3 linked regions of the Drosophila melanogaster genome follow. The protein of the gene in region 1 purifies or fractionates together with the protein of each later gene. This does not show direct contact. Each region holds a gene or a part of one and is shown on either strand. Other genes may lie near its edges.

The links. Proteins that work in one complex are often made in the same cells at the same time.
Region 2: the proteins of Rab4 (region 1) and ccb purify together in Drosophila melanogaster (affinity purification with western blotting, with the first as the bait; one study listed by BioGRID). This does not show direct contact.
Region 3: the proteins of Rab4 (region 1) and CG3164 purify together in Drosophila melanogaster (affinity purification with mass spectrometry, with the first as the bait; one large-scale study listed by BioGRID). This does not show direct contact.

Annotation. Positions count from the first base shown.
Region 1 is NT_033778.4:17,570,327-17,576,186, forward strand, and holds Rab4 (Rab4), read left to right. Parts: upstream 1-3,135; 5' UTR 3,136-3,372; coding exon 3,373-3,388; intron 3,389-3,457; coding exon 3,458-3,538; intron 3,539-3,608; coding exon 3,609-3,941; intron 3,942-4,004; coding exon 4,005-4,216; 3' UTR 4,217-4,653; downstream 4,654-5,860. Other genes in the region: POSH (plenty of SH3s), read left to right, coding at 1-840, 908-1,087, 1,147-1,440, 1,502-1,676; UQCR-6.4 (Ubiquinol-cytochrome c reductase 6.4 kDa subunit), read right to left, coding at 2,077-2,197, 2,326-2,378; CG42239 (uncharacterized protein), read left to right, coding at 2,597-2,707, 2,777-2,875; Dcr-2 (Dicer-2), read right to left, coding at 5,069-5,860.
Region 2 is NC_004354.4:21,190,738-21,196,404, reverse strand, and holds ccb (central complex broad), read right to left. Parts: upstream 3,153-5,667; 5' UTR 3,023-3,152; coding exon 2,449-3,022; intron 2,336-2,448; coding exon 2,118-2,335; 3' UTR 1,884-2,117; downstream 1-1,883.
Region 3 is NT_033779.5:126,409-133,292, forward strand, and holds the start of CG3164 (uncharacterized protein), read right to left. Parts: upstream 4,384-6,884; 5' UTR 4,144-4,383; coding exon 4,100-4,143; intron 2,838-4,099; exon of another isoform or gene 2,576-2,837; coding exon of another isoform or gene 2,535-2,575; coding exon 2,392-2,534; intron 1-2,391. Other genes in the region: Gs1 (glutamine synthetase 1), read left to right, coding at 6,075-6,884.

The DNA.
Region 1 (5,860 bases):
TCGTTTCCGTGACAAGGGAGCAAAGGAGAAACGCCACTCACTAAATGCTTTGCTGGGAGGAGGAGCTCCATTAAGTCTGCTGCAGACCAACCGCCATTCGGCTGAAATTCTTAGCCTGCCCCATGAACTAAGCCGCTTGGAAGTTTCCAGCTCAACAGCTCTAAAACCCACGTCAGCCCCACAGACATCGCGTGTACTTAAGACCACTGTTCAGCAGCAGATGCAACCGAATTTACCCTGGGGATACTTAGCCCTGTTCCCATACAAACCACGCCAAACGGATGAGCTGGAATTAAAAAAGGGTTGTGTTTACATTGTGACCGAACGATGTGTGGACGGTTGGTTCAAGGGAAAAAACTGGTTGGACATCACTGGAGTGTTCCCGGGCAACTACCTGACGCCCCTGCGCGCCCGCGACCAGCAGCAGTTAATGCATCAATGGAAATATGTTCCCCAAAATGCAGACGCCCAGATGGCACAAGTACAGCAGCATCCAGTTGCACCAGATGTGCGACTCAACAACATGCTGTCCATGCAACCGCCTGATTTGCCACCTCGTCAGCAGCAGGCTACCGCCACGACCACCAGTTGCTCTGTGTGGTCGAAACCAGTGGAGGCGCTGTTCAGCAGAAAATCGGAGCCCAAGCCTGAAACTGCCACAGCTTCGACTACGAGCAGCAGTTCCTCTGGAGCAGTGGGACTTATGAGGAGATTAACTCACATGAAAACACGCTCCAAATCTCCGGGAGCGTCCTTGCAGCAAGTTCCGAAAGAAGCTATTAGCACAAATGTGGAATTTACAACAAACCCATCAGCTAAATTGCATCCAGTACATGTAAGGTTAGATCCGCAATAATAAGTTATCTTTATAGACCAGAATAAAAGTTTAATTGTTTTGTCTCTTCAGATCCGGCTCGTGCCCCAGTCAGCTGCAGCACAGTCAACCGCTCAATGAAACTCCAGCAGCCAAGACAGCGGCACAACAACAGCAGTTCCTACCCAAGCAGCTGCCTTCCGCTTCTACGAACAGCGTTTCGTACGGATCGCAACGCGTGAAAGGAAGCAAGGAACGTCCTCACTTGATTTGGTTCGTTAGGCTTAATTTGAATGCTTTAACTTTTAACTGACTCTTGGATTTTGATTCAGCGCGAGACAATCATTAGATGCAGCTACATTTCGCAGTATGTACAACAATGCCGCGTCGCCGCCGCCACCTACTACTTCCGTGGCCCCAGCTGTCTACGCCGGCGGTCAGCAACAGGTGATTCCTGGAGGTGGAGCGCAATCCCAGTTGCATGCCAATATGATTATTGCACCCAGCCATCGGAAGTCGCACAGCCTAGATGCGAGTCATGTGCTGAGTCCCAGCAGCAATATGATCACGGAGGCGGCCATTAAGGCCAGCGCCACCACTAAGTCTCCTTACTGCACGAGGGAAAGGTGGGTTTTGCAATACATTATTGTGAGCTTAGAGATTTACTAATGCAACCTTTTATCGTAGTCGATTCCGCTGCATTGTGCCGTATCCACCAAACAGTGACATTGAACTAGAGCTACATTTGGGCGACATTATCTACGTCCAGCGGAAGCAGAAGAACGGCTGGTATAAGGGCACCCATGCCCGTACCCACAAAACCGGGCTGTTCCCCGCCTCCTTTGTTGAACCGGATTGTTAGGAAAGTTATGGTTCAAACTAGAATTTATTAAGCGAAATTCCAAATTACTTGTCTAAAAGGATTCAATCGTCGGTCTATTCGGGCTTCCAAATACGCAATCTCATATTTCTCTTTTCAAAAAAGAAACCGTTTTGTACTCTTCCAATCGAATGGGCAGCTCGCCGTTGTACTTTTTTATACAATGCTTGATCAAAATAGGCTAGCCATGTAAGACTTAGGGAACAGTTACTTAAGCCTTAGCGATTAGTTAGCTAGAGAAATAATCTAACCGATCCTTGTGCCCTCTACAAAGTTATTTGTAATATACGATACTCAGTAATACCCTTTGGTCGTTTTAACTTATTTTATTCACCAAGCAAAACATCGAGGCTAACTGTGGATTCAACTACGGCAGGCAAGGTTACTCGCTTTTTTCGAACTTGGATCCGTAGATGGGCACGTACTGTAGGACCAGCTTCCAGTCGGTGTAGTAAAGCACGGCCAGGCCAGCAGCTCCTCCGAATCCGGCTCCAGATCGGATGCTACGAATTAAAAGAAACTAGTTTAGTTCTCTGGATGGGGTTATGCAATGTGTGCTTTGGTAGCAGTAAAAGAGCGGGAACACTAATGAATTCATGATGCAGAATCAAGCACGACAGCATATACTTACAAGGAACTCGCTATCTCAGCGTGCTTCTTGCCAAAAGGTATGCGGAAAGCCATTTTTGTTGATTTAATAACTTTTCACACGCACCAAAATGTTCGCAATGAACGCAATAGTTTCAAATGTCCTAAATAATACCACTACAGTGTGACCGTAGGATAGCGTAAAACTTTAAAAGCAAGGTGTGACAACACTGTGCGGCCTACGTGAGAACAACAACTAGTCATCAACAAAAACTAATATTCGCAAAGAACTCATCAAAAATTACGAAATTAAAATGAAAATATCCGTTTTTGGGGAGCTTAACACATTCGAGCTGTTTGTCCTGTCCACTGTGATACCGGCGGTGTTCGTTTTCCTTTGGACTCTGATATCTGGCGATATGAAGGTACGGCAGATAGTGCTTATCAGAATGGTTAATTTTAAGTAATTTTCCCTTTCTGCCCTGAGTTTACAGAACTTCAAGGGCAGCAAATTGGCATACTCAGTTTATACGGCCAAGGATCCCATTAATTGCTATCAAGACTACGAACCAGAGAAGCAAAAGGATACGTAGACTATGTGCCGGGTTGGATTACCAGGGCCCACCATCTTTTATACTTTTATTGCATATATGTATGTATGCAAATTGTGTGATGAATAGAAGAGGGTTTTTGAAAAAAGACAATAAACCTTTGTGGGCTGCATTTCATATTTTGTTTTTTCTTTGTAGCTTTCGGCAATTTTCATATATTTGGAAATATTTTAAAAGTAAACAAAAACTTAATTGCAATATGAATCATATTTTGAACCACCTGGTCACACCCACCCCTTGTTGGTATTTTCGCGTTTGTAGCGAACCTTCTCACTGAAGTGAGTCCAGTCAAAGATTTTAAGGTAATTTTTGGCTTTCTAATTGTTTAAACGCTTACTTATCGACGGATATTGCGGGTTTTGATCGTGTCCTGCGCACTTCCTGGTGCCCATACGCACCAGCAATCCGATAGTCCTGAAGTCTGGCCGAAAAACCAAAACAAACAAAGAAGACAACTACGCAGAAGACGAACAAAAACAATGTCGGAAACATACGGTTTGTCAGCACACATTTAATTAATTAATGCATTTTACTAATTAATATCGGTGCTCGGCGCTCACCTAGATTACCTGTTCAAGTTCCTGATAATTGGCAGTGCTGGCAGCGGTAAGAGTTGTCTGTTGCATCACTTCATCGAGAGCAAGTGTAAGTTTGGTGGTAGCCTGAAAATGGTACACGCCTAATGCATTTTATACATTTTGATGTACCATCAAAGTCAAAGACGACAGTTCGCACACCATCGGAGTGGAGTTCGGCTCGCGGATTGTGAACGTGGGCGGCAAGTCGGTAAAGCTACAGATATGGGACACAGCCGGTCAGGAGAGATTCCGATCGGTGACAAGATCGTACTATCGCGGAGCAGCCGGAGCTCTCCTGGTCTACGATGCCACTTCGCGGGACTCTTTCAATGCTTTGACAAACTGGCTGAATGATGCTCGCACTCTGGCCAGCCCAAATATTGTGATCCTTTTGGTGGGCAATAAAAAGGACTTGGAGGAGGCGCGTGATGTGACCTTTCTGGAAGCAAGCACCTTTGCCCAAGAGAACGGTCTGTTTTTTAGGATTCTCCATAAATTTCCTATCGTAATTCTACGTCTGTTTGTCGTTGCAGAGCTTATCTTCCTGGAGACGAGCGCCAAGACGGGGGAGAATGTTGAAGAGGCCTTTCTCAAGTGCTCAAAGACCATACTGGCCAAAATTGAGACCGGAGAGCTGGATCCCGAGCGCATCGGCAGCGGTATTCAGTACGGCGGAGCTGCTCTCCGTAACTTACAGACACGACAGCGCAGCATCAATAAGCCGGATTGCACCTGTCGCGTTTAAGTCGCATAAGTTGTGCTGATTTATTTCCATTTAATCTCAAACCGGAATGCGCATTCGGATTACCCCTTAGTTGTATTGTGTACTTGTGTGTGTCCACTTTTTTAGTATGTATTTTGTCTTGCTAGATTAATCATTCCAATTGTAAGCATAATGCTAATCGATTTGTTTTTTAACATAACCAATTACCACTTTGAAAACCTATGATTTCGGGTTAACCCCAAATGTTACTTACTATAATTTGTAATTCGTGAAGCACTAGAGCCCTCGAGCAACAAATGATGTATGGCTATAAGCACATGGATCTGATCTAGAGGATGAACAGAATACACTCGGCATTTTTAATGTAAATAAGTAGCGATACGCCGTTGACGACGTCGCCGATTGTAAATCCCATTGAAGCATGCACGCGGTAAATAAAAACGCCCATTGATAAATTCAATTGTATAAAAATATTTATTTCGACCCAAGGTAACAAATATTGTATTGGGGAAGCTATTAAATTTTATTAATAACAATGAAGCTAAAACATTTTAAATGGCAATAATTGATAAAAAAATAATTAAAAACCGTTTGTATTTGAGGAAATTGGCATAGCATCTTTAGATTGTGTTTCCAAATGGGCTGTTTTTGTTTTGATTTAAAAGGTCTTAACAATTTATGGTGATCAAAAATGATTTTTTGGTTTTAGACATTTATGTCTATTAAAGCGATGGAAAAGTATTTTTTAATTCTAAGATATACAGTTAAGTTCATTAGGTGCCCTTTGCTGTCCTCTTCCAAAGGATTACGTCTTGGCTAGAAAGCAAATTCAATGCAGTTTAGCAGAAACTAGACTGGGCTGGAATCATCATATTAGGCGTCGCATTTGCTTAGCTGCTGAAGGGCGTGCTTGGCAGCCGATAGCTTGGCCTGGTCCTTATTGCTCCCAAATCCGTACACCTTGATCGTCTTTTCCATGCAGGTAAATTGACAACTAACCATTACAGTTTCCCCTTCGACGATGGGCGAGCTAAACACGGGCTTCGCATGCTTGTGCTCAACGAGCTGTCGTATATGATTGATGGGCACTTTGCGCGTGAACTCCTGAAGCTCCGGCTCGAAGAGATTGAAAATTACCTCCCAAGTACGTTGGAGATCTCGGCAGTCCAGGTATACGGCTGCAATAAGGGCCTCCAGAACATCCCCCAACGCCTTTGGCACATCCACGTTTGTGGACATGTTGAACTCACCTTTTGGTGGGACTCCTTTCTCTGCTTCCTGAGAAATGCATTTATTTGCATGCGGTAACTCAGTCATATCCAATTCGTCATCCAAGTCCAGCGGAGTCGGCTGAACATCAGCTTCCTCGAGCAGAATGCGCACATAGTTGGTAACCCGGTGACCCTGGCTCTCCTGGAAATTCACGAATTTGGATATGATCTCGGAGAGCTTTGCGTTCTCCGCTAGGATAAAAAAGTGCAACCGATGCCGCACGCAAATGCAGGCCAGCGTAGTATTGTTGACCAAAGCGGAACGCAGATCTGTGAGGGCGCCCGGATTCATTTTCGTATTGTTCTCGAAAATATAGGCAGAGATTAGAAAGTCGAGTATGGCATCGCCAATAAATTCCAGCTCCTGATAGGACCCAGTGATGCGATTAGTGGG
Region 2 (5,667 bases), on another chromosome or scaffold:
TTTTGAAAGGCAGCGTCATCGACCGTGAGTCCATTTGGCCGAGCCGAAGATGCGACCCCCTTTGGTGGCTTCCAAAGGGGAACCGCACATGCCTTTTGGAATTGAAATAATAATCATCGTCATCGTTATCGTCATCGTCATCTTTTCCTGGCCCGGGGCATCTGCCCAATGCTCCACTGCTCTATGGCAACAGCCAACGAATAATGGCTTTAACTCCACCGGACCGACTTCAGACTATTTCCCAAGTCTTGATGGAGTTTTGCTGGGCTAAAAATAGTAAATTGATTAACAGCGGACTGAGTTCCTTATTCACATACAAGATCTTCTTTAAAGTTGTTCAAAAGAAGCTGCGTTTGAACCAGTGTTAGGTTATATCAATGAAAACTTTAAATGACTTTAAAATATTAGTTATAAGATTCGCAAGCGTAGCCCGTATCCAGCCCACCTGATTCCTGTCGGAATCTCCCGGCTGCCGAATCCTGGTTGTCCAACATCCTTGTCTAATTCCACAACTCTGAGGGACAGCTAAGTCAGGCCCTCTTTCGGAATGGGTTTACTTGGGTTTCCGAACAGATTTCGGATGGGGGCGACGTCCATAAACGGATTATAATGCGTGAACCCGCCCCCTTTCCGACCACCCAACGCCTACTTATGCCTGCCCATCGCCGGGCAGTTAAACCGCTGACGGAAATTCTGTTCCTTGCTTCCCGGGCTTACTTTTAACGGTGCACTATGCAAAATATTTTATATTTAAGTCGTAGCGTAAGCCACCTTGTTCGAAATACCTTTTTCTCGAATGAGTCGCACACGTTTTTCCATCAAGTAAATATATATATATATTCTCTTTCCATATTTTGTAAATATAGTCAAAAGCTAGCGATTGAGGCTAAATCGCACAGCATAACATTTCTCGAATGAAATGTATATGGGATTTCCCGAGTGTACCATCCTGCCGCCCATCCGCGCTGCTTTCTGAGCTTTGTCGAGGCAAAAGTCCATTTTGTCACGTTTTATATTGATATTTAAAAAAAAAACAACATGGAAGGAAGGTGGGAGGGCGGAAAGCCGGAAAAGGGCGAACCGCCGCGGCAACAACTAACAACTAAACAAAATGGCAAAACAAATTTCTGCGCGTTTTGCTCCGCTCAGCACGTAGGCAGGGGCGTTGCAGGGGCTCGGCAGAGAAGGGGAGGTCGATGGCTTTTCACGTGGCAGCCACGTAGCAAATGGCAGCGGCGGACGGAAATTGCAATTGAGTGCAAATTGCAAGAAGAAAAGGGTCCCGTCCCGTACCCTACGACCCACCCACATCACTTCCACTCCGCTCCTACTGCCCAATTTTCACCCACTTCCTGTCGCCCTCTTCCTTTGACCCCGCCATCGCCGCCCACCTTCTCCTTCGATTTTCGTATACTTCCTGCCGAGAGCCCACTACATTCTTAATGCCCCCACTGGCCCGCAGTGATTTCCGAGCCGCACACACTCCGCTAATGAATAAATCTGGCCATCTTGAGCCGTTGGGCCGTGGAGGCGGTTTTAATGATTAACCATCGACAAGGCTGCGTTGCATTCACCGCCCAGTTTCTGCCACTGTAGCACCCCTCCGCCCCTCGCCTCCATCCATATTCAACTTTAGCAACTTCGGTGGGTCGCATGTTTGCTTGCTCTCGGCGCCTTTAACTTTATCGTCCTTTGTCACGTTCTGGGTGCGATTTTTATCGCCCGAAAGTTGCGCGGAATAACAGGAGGCTTTAATTAATTTCCACACCGAAAATCAATCAGATTTGACCACTTCACAACCCGGTTATTTCCCTCAATATAAGCCTGGTACTCAATGGGCTTTCCTTTAACCTTTAAATTAAATGAAACAGGAGACAGTTTTTCAGTGTGCAGTGTACATAATTTAATTTAAATGAAATAAAGCAAGGACAAATTTAAAGTGTAAGGTGTAATTTGATGTTTTTGATAGGTAGATTGTGCGAATTTGGCATTGTAGTTGTATGGAGTGTATGGAAACAATTAAGAAGTTAAATACAAAAGTTATCCATAACTGCCATAATGGGCTATTATCCTCGGCGAAGCCATATATTTTACTAGATCTCGATATCATCATGAAACTACTCTTGGTTTGGCCAGTCCTCAATCTCGTAATACAACTCCCTCATGGCATCCACTTCCTGCTTCCAGCGCTCAATGATGCCTAGATGCACCTCCACGCCTATCTCCTCAAGCTTGTCAACGATCTGCAGCACACATATCTGATAATAGGCTCTGCTCGACGCATTATCAATATCATTATCGAAAAGCCTTGGAAAAAACAACGTCACACATAAGACTGCAAGAGAGATTGCATTTCTTAATATATATTAAAAGTAATACTAAAAACAATAAAAGCTTGATTGGAATAATTTGCGTGTGTTCATTTGAGGTCGCATATGGAAAACTTACCGATCCTAATTAGCAAGAAGATGTTAGTATACCAGATGATGTTACGCACTGCCTCCAGGGCAAGCATCATCAAAAAGAGCTCGAAGATTTCAGTTTGAAAGAGGATGCAATGCAGCGTGACCAAGCAGCGATTTACACAGTTGACCACGCGCACAACCATTTCCTGGGTGATGTGCACATTGAAATCGGCGCGGATCAGACGCTCGTAAAGATGGAATCGCACATACGGCCGGATGGCCTTGTAGATCATTATGTTGCTCAGGATCATCATGCCGACTACAGCCAGCTGTTGCAACAGATTGAAGCTTTGAAGGACCTCGAAGGCATTGAGGATAAGAAAGCCTAGGCTCAAAAAGATGGAGTTCCACTCGTGGCGCACGAGCAAATCAAACAGAATTCGGGGCCAGGTGAGGGCTGTAATCATCTGATAGATCTCATGGAACGTGTATTTTTGTGGGCGGGAAGCCGACTCCACCACATCCGGGATGTTACCAATGGCATTGGGTGCTTCTTGCCTTACCGCCACCTGCTGTTCATTTTCAAATGTGTCGTTTGATATAGCCATTATGGTCATTTTTCGTCTTTCTTGCTTAGAAAACGGATGCACTTCTTTTTATGGAAAAACTTGTAAAAAAATATAAATTTTGATTTTGTTGTTCAGCCAACGGAGCTCTGGCTGAGACTGAATGGTACGGCAAATCTGTCATAGAGCCTAAATGACATTGTACTGAGTACTTTCACCAGGCCTATTCAAAAAGGTTTCAATGTACTACCAATACTTTACACAACATTTTAGAATCTTAAATAGGTAAGCGGAAAAGAAAGATACACCGCTTTGATTATAAATAGTAAAATCCTATGTTCGCTATTGTGCTCGCGACTTTCGATAACTAAAACTATGATGTTTTCGTGACCAAGCTTAAATACTTGTGGGCTGGTCAATTAATTTATTCATGGCCCTGGGGAGACGAGTCCGATTTTCGACGCCCAAATATTTCTAAATATTTGCTCAGTTCGTCTGAAAGGACAAAGGACCCACGAGGACAAAGGAATGCGCTGTGTTTGGACTTGCTGCGTGTGCGTAATAAATAAATAAAATCCCATTCGAAGCCGGATTGCCAGAGGAGGAAACAATTGGCTGGTGGGGGCGTTTAAGTGCAAAATTGTAAAATGCCAGTCCCAGACTAAATGGAAATAGTAAATTGGAAATTGGAATCGCTGTTGCCGCTAATGAAATTCGATAAAATGAACCGAAATCTAACCGAAATGATGCCGACATTCAAAGGCAAAGGGGTGATGGCCAGCGATCTATTGCAAACATTTTGTGCGGAAATTGGTAAAACTCTTTGATGTCAAAATGCGGAGAGGGATTTCAGGGCGCGGCGATTGCCTTTTCCTGGCTAATCTCCAGTGTCAGCCCGAAACGTAAATCAAAACTGCAGCTTCAAGTGGCTCACTAATTAGATTAACTTGGAGCAGCGGCGAAAAACCGACGCACACACAGTGAGTCGCAAAAAGCTGTTGACTATTTCGCAATTTGTTTTTGCAGCCGGATGGTAAAATCCGTACACTTGGATGAAATGTTGTGCAGAAGCTTTAATAATAATCTGAAAGTAAGCTATGCTTGTGTGAAATCAAGTATACGACTGCTTAGATAAAAAAATCCGACTGCTTACATTTTTTGTGCCTTTTTTAAGATAAAGATTTGTAAAAGAAGACAAATATTTTATCCGCTGTGCAGCAGAGCTCAGATATTTTTGGTATATATACATATATATATATGTTTTTGACTTGGCGCCAGCGAATTATGCTCGAGTTTCTTGCCCGTGTCTCCGTTGCTGCCATCTCTTGCTTAATTATTTCCTTGGCTAGAGCAAACAATCAACATAATTCCTGACACGCCTCCCACGCCCCCCCGGCCAGTCGGGCCTCCCATTTAGCAGCTCCTTTTCATTTTCGCCATGTCTGCGACATAATGAAAAATGTGGAAAGTTGCAAGTTGGCAATACAAAAAGCAGGCGGAGGGAGGCCCCTCATTAGCTGCACTTGAAGAAGAACCTCCTAAAATCAATGGCCTTTAATCGCCTGCCAATTTTCCATTTTCCTCATAACCAGAACCTTTCCCAAAACAAGCACAAACAAAACAAGAGAGTCAAGTTGCCCGACTATCAGATACCAGTTACAAGGCTACTGGAAATGTGAAAGCGAAAATATGTAAATTTTTTTTTTTTAGGAAATCGATAGATATCGGGATAAATAGAAATTTAAACGAAAAAAAAAATGTATTAATTGTTTAAAATTGTGAGCGTGACTGTCTTGGGCGTTTTGTATATGGGAGTGGCCACAGTGTTTTTGGTATACAGATAAAAATTGGCAAGACGAACAATAAAACGAAGAAAAGTCAAAACATTTTTTAAAAGTGTGGGCGTGGCAGTTTTAGGCGGCTTGTGGGCGTTAAAGTCGGCGTGGCAACATGAGTCAACAAACTTGCGCTTCGTCTATGTCTCTAGAGTCTGCATGTATAATCTCAACCTTCTAGCTACTATAGTTCCTGAGATCTCAAAACTCATATACGGGCGGATCCTGATCACAAATATATATGCCTTATATGATCGGAAATGCTTTCTAACTGTTACATGTTACATACTTTTCAACGAATCTAGGTTACCCTCTTACTCTACGAATAACGGGTATACCAAACACAACGTGGAAGATAACAGGTGGAAAAGGGGTCGTTGTATTTGGGTTGCCAAAACGGACTTTCCCAACACTTTCCCTTGTTTTTATTTACATTTCGGTTTCAATATTACCAACAGCTGCATAAATTATCTTTACAACCTAAGCTGTTTTTCCAACTTTTCTCGCATGTGACCGCGTGTGGCTGTGGTTGTGTGCGAATTTTTCCAACTATAACTATCGATCTCACTTAAACCTCCTGGGTCCTGACTCCTCCGTCTGTCCATCTGTCCGTCTGCTGGCCCATATGCAAACCGGCAATAAAATCTAAATATTTTGCATATAAATCAAATCGATGGAAATTTTCGGGACAAAGCGAAGGTGCCATGTGTGTGTGTGTGTGTGCTGCAGACAGAGGGGCATCGGGCATGGGCGGGGCAAGGTGAGGGGCGCTGAAGGACCCCACTAGATTTGCAAATGCAGCTGAACAAGGGGGTTTCAACGGAGCGGCCATAAATTAGAAAATCTTTTAAAGGAAATCAG
Region 3 (6,884 bases), on another chromosome or scaffold:
AGTCTGACAATCGAAACACATAGCACGGTCAATGGCCCCATCACGTTTTTCTTCGTCCACCTCCATATATAGTATGACTTATGCTATTATCGACAGAATTCCAACAGTTGTCAAACAACCGCGTCCATTACTCAAATTTTATTAAACATCCAACATCAACAACGGACAACTAATAAACAAAGCGGCTAAAATTCGTAAAAAGCCAATTGCACTTTAGTAACGCTTGTTTAAAAATAGTTTGACTTATTCTGACGTATATTCGCAGATGCTGCCTAAATGGAACTGTTCAGATGCGGAAGTGCCTTATAATCATGGCATACCTTTAAAGTTTAAACCAATAGTTTTGTACAGCAAGCCATCTGCTCTACGGAAAATGCTAATATACCCGTTTTCATGGGGGCACGCTCTTCGACTGCCGGCTCTTAATCAAAAGATGTATTTACTATTGAATCGACTTTGGACACAAAAGCGAGCTATGACTGGTTATAGAGCTTCTGTAAAGTGACTATTACGAAATAATTCATTTTATGTTTGTCATAACTCCGATTAGTAAAGTACCGTGACCCGCTCAGAAGTGAAACTCAAATTTATTAAGCTCATGCAGGGACTGTAAATGTTTTATTCGGCGACTTACTTAATACGTAGACTTTAAAAGCTGGTAATGAATTCCAGCTGCCAGGCAGCGACTAGCAAGTCGTAACCACTAGGTACGCAATGTCTCTCATTGAACTTACTTGCTTGCCAATTGATGTAATAGCACCAAAAGTGGGGTCACGCTTGAAAAACTATAGTCCAGCGCTAAGGCCAAATCGTAGCTTTGATGTTTATGACCGGATTGGACAACAAGTGGAACCATTCAGGGCTCCTAAGAAAAGGTTACGCCAAACTTGCAACAAGGGCACAGAAAGTCGCTTTCAGAATTTATTTATATCTGTTTTAATATAGCAGCCGAAAACGTTAGCAGGCACTTACTTCATTAATTGTGTTTACTTTAAGTGGCATAGTTAGCCAAAATCAGCGCAATTTCCATCTGTTGCCTCACTTCCATCTTATATTGTATACATTATTTTGGCACATAACTTAGCACACCCCAGAAGGCGGCGTGCCATCTGCAAATCTTTCGGCTAGGTGGGGCACGCTCACAGGGCAGTGTAAATAAATCTGTGTATATTCGCTTATTCTGAACGACTTAATTGAGTCGGATGGCCGACCTTTGAGGTGTGCAAAGTTCAGGCTGCTGCCTTCTCCAATTAGTTTTGCACTTGGCTGGCCTTGGGCTTAAAAACAGGCTTTGACAGTCCCTCAATCTTAGACGGGATTCACGGACTATGTCCGCCGTGAGGCCAGCCATCCAATGCGACAACGAGGGGAGTGGGTTTCATGAATGAGCTTTTATAAATATAAGAATAAAGCAGTTGTGCACGTTCGCATACCAAACTAATGGAATATTATCGCTCGGCCATCATTACTTATTCTGAACGGCCCCACCGGGGCACTGCATATTACCACAAATGTGTTTTCACCACCACACCCGACTAAAGCTAGCTATTGGCAGTGACTAAATCCTAATCGCTCTGCTAACACAGAAAGCACATACCGCCGCCATCAGTCTTGACTTCCTCAACTATAACATACCCGCTACTCAATTTCATAATCCTTTTTTTTTTGGCGGATCAGGGGCAGTCTACGAGGAAAGGGTATAAAAACAATACCTCTCCCTCTGGCACGTCATCACAAATTGTTTTCCATAAAAGCAGTAGATCCAAAAAAAAACCCCATTGTGCTCCACCCATGCTTTAAAGTAGATACACTGCTACGTGAGAAAAGTGCGAGTACATGGCTCCTCGCCTTTTAGATGCTATGGCATCGAACCAAGTTGTTGACTGTCCCAATAGCGAAATAGCTTGTGTGGGCAGTTACTCCGCGGCTACTGGCTGATGATTTTGATGTATTTAGCAGTGCTTATCGCGGTGAAACCTAGTGAACTTTGGCCAGAGCCGCCCTTGTGAAACTGGGAAATGAATTTGACGAAGAGACGACGGGTTACATATCTACTCAGCCACAACCCGAAGTTCTCCGTTGCTCACAGTCTGAGTGTTGATACTGCGTTACAGCTGCTAAAAGAACAAAGAAACCAGAAACCAACACAATGCGAAGCGCAGCTAAAGCAAACAAGTAAAACCCGCTAAAGCCAGGGAAGTGCGTAATAGCGACAGAGTACTCCGGAGAACTAGCTCAATAACACATGTGCGGAGTACTACTAGCCAGGACCGGAAACAAAAGCTCTAGGGTGAGGTGAGAGCAGGCGCGGGAGGTTCAAGATCCCGCTCTCGTGCTGCCGAGGAGTGCAGCTTGATATAGAGAGAGGTACTAGACAGTGGAAGTACTTACTGCTCCGGTTCCCCTCCTTGACGCGGTACGTCAGGTTGTGAAAGGCCAGGTCCACCGCTGGTCGCTTGGGGAGGTGCTGGAGCGTCTTTGGCTGGGCGGGTACTATTTGAGCTTTCAACTGACCCGCTCCGGCTGTGCCCAGTCTGTTGTCGTTCAACAGATTTGCATTATCGTTCTTAGTCATCTTGTCAATCAATCAACCAGGGGTTAAAAAGCAAAATGCAACCACTGTGTTGTGTGTGTATTCTTTGTAAACTTTAGCACTGACAGCAATACTGCAGCCCCTGCTGCCCTTCGTTCCCGTTTGGTTTTTCGTTCGCGTTCTCGATTCGATTCCACCACCGTCTGGTCCGGTGAGAGAAATTTTCCACCCGTCTGCTCGAAACGGTACTGCCGCTTCTCAAATATTAGGACTTCACTCGCTCGCGCCGCGATCGCAACTGAAATAAGCAATTGCGGCAGTGGAACAAAGGCAGAAATTTAGGCAACCGCTGACAGAGAGTGCCATCGCATACTCTCACAGCCCCAATGCTTTACGTCTGTGGTTAGAGTGGGACGACAATAGAAGCACTACTTCTGGTGGGGATTCTAGTGCGATTGAGAGGCACTGCGGGTTGGCTCTCTCTCAAAAGCCAGCGCATTCTTCTACTAAGTCTTGAATGAATTTGGGAAAAGCCTATAATCTGTGAATATTCCTCGATCGGCGGACCCATGTATCTCGAAATAAAATACCACTAACTAATTTCGAGGAAAGTCTTTACCTTGAGGAAGGTCTTTGATTCCCAGTCTTGTACTTTGATTGGTTTATCAGCCTTTTATAGTAGTTAGTCCTGGAAGCTAAGGTTCTGGCCATTGGTTTATTCAATCTAAGTTAAAAGTTCACGGCCTCGCTCATGACTCATGAGTTATTGGAGGGGCTTATCTATGGGTGTCAATCTACAGCTGATAGGAGTTTTCAATGAGCCGATAAGGGGTTGTACTTTGTCATTTCGTGTTTTACGTAAAAATAAGTTAATCGGTGCCGTAATTCGTTTAAAGGAGCTCTAGTACGCTTTTTAATGGTTTGCTTACGCGACATTTTACCTACATTTTGCTTTTCCCTACATTTAATGTGGCATGAGGTCATTTGTGGCTATGGCGTGGGACGACCTTACAACTTTGCCCCAGAAACAGTTTTGTGGTATATCTGAACGCAACAGTTAGATGTAGACATTGCTGTAAGGCTCCTTGTTGGCATGCTTTTACGATGCTCCGGTCTATATTTTGCCCAATCTAATTGGGATTTACGGATTGCACTGGGAGTGCTAATAACGTTTAGTTAAACCGGTTATTGTATATATTGGGGCAAGTAAAAACGTAATGAATTGACCAACAAAAGGTATTTTCCCAGTACAAACCGCAATTTGAGATATTATTCCTAGTTCGGTTTCTGGGTTCAAATCAGCATACAGCACTAAAGTTATGCAGTCGCCTTAAGATATGAAAGAATAATGTATTTCCACTGGCAATTTCCCGATGACTATTGGCTTGGAAATTTTTTAAAGCTTGTGGCTAATCAAGTCACGGAGATGTCAACAATTGGCAGGAATTGCAAACCGGTTGTTCTACACTTGTTGATTTCGTTTTATAAACGGGGGGTGTGGTATATTAGATGTGCCAACTAAATGTGATGCATTTTGCTTGAGACCCGCCTGATTCGGCTACTTACAGATTATTATTTTCCAAAAACTGCTTCCAACTATACTGGTTCATGGTGCCGTAACTCAACAGCTACTGAAACCATCGCTTTGAAGCAACAAGTTGCCTTCGCGAAAGCTAAGTCGCAGGCAATAACGAATAGGCAGTCGAAACCCAAACCGAATATAAGAATTAGCGATTTTGTATTTGGTTGTTGCACATCGGGTGTAAAAATATGTACACTCTGCTGGAGGGAAACTTTCGTAGTTTCTTGCGAAAACTGAAGCCGGCCAACTAGTGGAAACGATGCCACGTAACTGGAAAAGCGTAGACGGCTATATGGGAATTACTCGGGTCTATGGTGAAAAGTGGCACTCACACATTGGCACATAAAAGTTTCCTCTGTTTTCCTTGTTTTCTTTGTTATGCCCACCTGAAGCTCTCCCAATATGAGCCGTCCAAAAAAGCTTGCTTTCCCGCCAGAAACAGAGTTTTAGCTTTATTTTAACATTAATCCTATCTGAAATATACTCATCCGTTCTTCAGTACTTTCCTCTAAGTTACGAGGCAACCAACAAATAATTGGAAGACATATCTGTGGTCTCGGCTTTTGTGCGACAACATGCCATTATGTAGGAGGGAGTGGGCCAATATGCGTGGCTTGATGAACGACGGCCTAGGACTAAGTATAATCTGTAACAAATAAATATTGAATATCCTCCACACAGGATATTTAGATCAGAATTTACATAGCATTTAAATTTCAACGTTTTACATACTCAGCCTAAAAGTTGGCTACACTGTGTACTTATACTGCTATTTTAGTTATAGTTTTAGTTAGATATATTTTTAATATTCAGAACGTCGTATGCGAGACCCAAGCCAGGAATAGGAACATTTAGTACCGAATTTACATATTATAAACAAATCATTATTGCTTCATTTAAGGCTCTATTAATGCGGTCCACCACAGAGTTTATCAAATGCCAAACACGAATAGACACAGCTGATACGGTGCTCCTTGCATTCGCTATATTTAATTGTATATAGTGAACTTTGTACCAGGCGTGTATTCAAAACAATCAGCCAAAGAGCAAAATGGTGGAGGTTTTTACGAAGAGATTACGAGAAATGAGAGAGTGTTGTAATAAGTAGTACTGCTGAAATGCATCTGCATACTGCGTAACCTATCATAGTTTCTGAAATGAATTTATCAAAAATGTAGAACTTAATTTGTGGGTTCTAAAGTGGGCCATGCACATAAATGGTGCAGGTGTTCTACGATGAGAATTACTAAAAACTTTTGTTTTTCATTTGGCGCTAATGCAAGCTACAAGTGCTCGAAATGCATAAATGAGCTTATAGCGTGTGCTCAGTAACGGGGCTTTTGGCTACCCGACTAGCCTCGAAACATAAACATTATGGGTCGCATTGCAGGTCTCTCTGGCTAGTGGCTGCGGAGCGGGTGCTCATATACCGCCAGTTTTGAATGCTCTCTGGGAGGCCTTTGTCTGTGCGTCGGCGTCGCAAACGAGATAAAGAAAAACCCGAGGCGCGCGACGAAACAACGAAAAAAGTGAATGCTGTCGCGCTAACTGTGCTCACAAGACTTCCAAACATCGAATTGGTCGGGTGTCCCCAACAGTCGCTCCGCAGCCCCTGACAGAAACAGAAACGAAAACCGAAAGTACCGCAATCCAAAATTACCAAAAGACCTGTCCAACCAGCGACTGTTTAACCAATCATATAACTGTAAAGTGGAAAAACGAGCAGAGCACGGTAAGTTGTGCGGAAGACTGCGTCTTCACTGGAAAAGTACCCCTTTTTTAACTACCTCGGAAAATCAAGTGCAAGGAAAATAATTACATAAAAATTCATGAGAAAAGCAGAGTGAGCCAGCATGCCACCAGCCCTTGCCCTTCCTGCGCACGTCCTCACATTCGCCAGCAATACATAACTAACCGTGTCCTTTTGTCCTTCTCGCCGACTCCAATCCAAGAACCAAGATGGCACTACGCGTGGCAGGACTCTTCCTGAAGAAGGAGCTGGTGGCTCCCGCAACACAGCAGCTGCGTCTGCTGCGTACTGGCAATACCACCCGCTCCCAGTTCTTGGCCAACTCCCCCAACACGGCTCTAGACAAGAGCATTCTGCAGAGGTACCGCAACCTGGAAACGCCGGCCAATCGAGTGCAGGCTACTTACTTATGGATCGACGGTACCGGCGAGAACATTCGCCTCAAGGATCGCGTTTTGGACAAAGTACCCAGCTCCGTGGAGGACTTGCCGGATTGGCAGTACGACGGCAGTTCCACCTACCAGGCCCATGGCGAGAACTCGGACACCACGCTCAAGCCACGCGCCATATATCGCGATCCCTTTAAGCCGGGAAAGAACGACGTAATTGTCCTGTGCGACACCTACAGCGCCGACGGCAAGCCGACGGCGTCCAACAAGCGTGCCGCGTTCCAGGCAGCCATTGACCTAATTAGCGATCAGGAGCCCTGGTTCGGCATTGAGCAAGAATACACTTTATTAGACGTGGACGGACGTCCCTTCGGCTGGCCGGAGAACGGTTTCCCAGCCCCACAAGGTCCTTACTACTGCGGCGTGGGAGCTGACCGTGTGTACGCTCGCGATCTTGTGGAGGCCCACGTCGTGGCCTGCCTGTATGCTGGGATCGACTTCGCCGGCACCAATGCCGAGGTAATGCCCGCGCAGTGGGAGTTCCAAATTGGTCCAGCCGGGATTAAGGCATGTGACGATTTATGGGTGTCGCGATATATTTTGCAGCGCATAGCTGAGGAGTATGGCGTA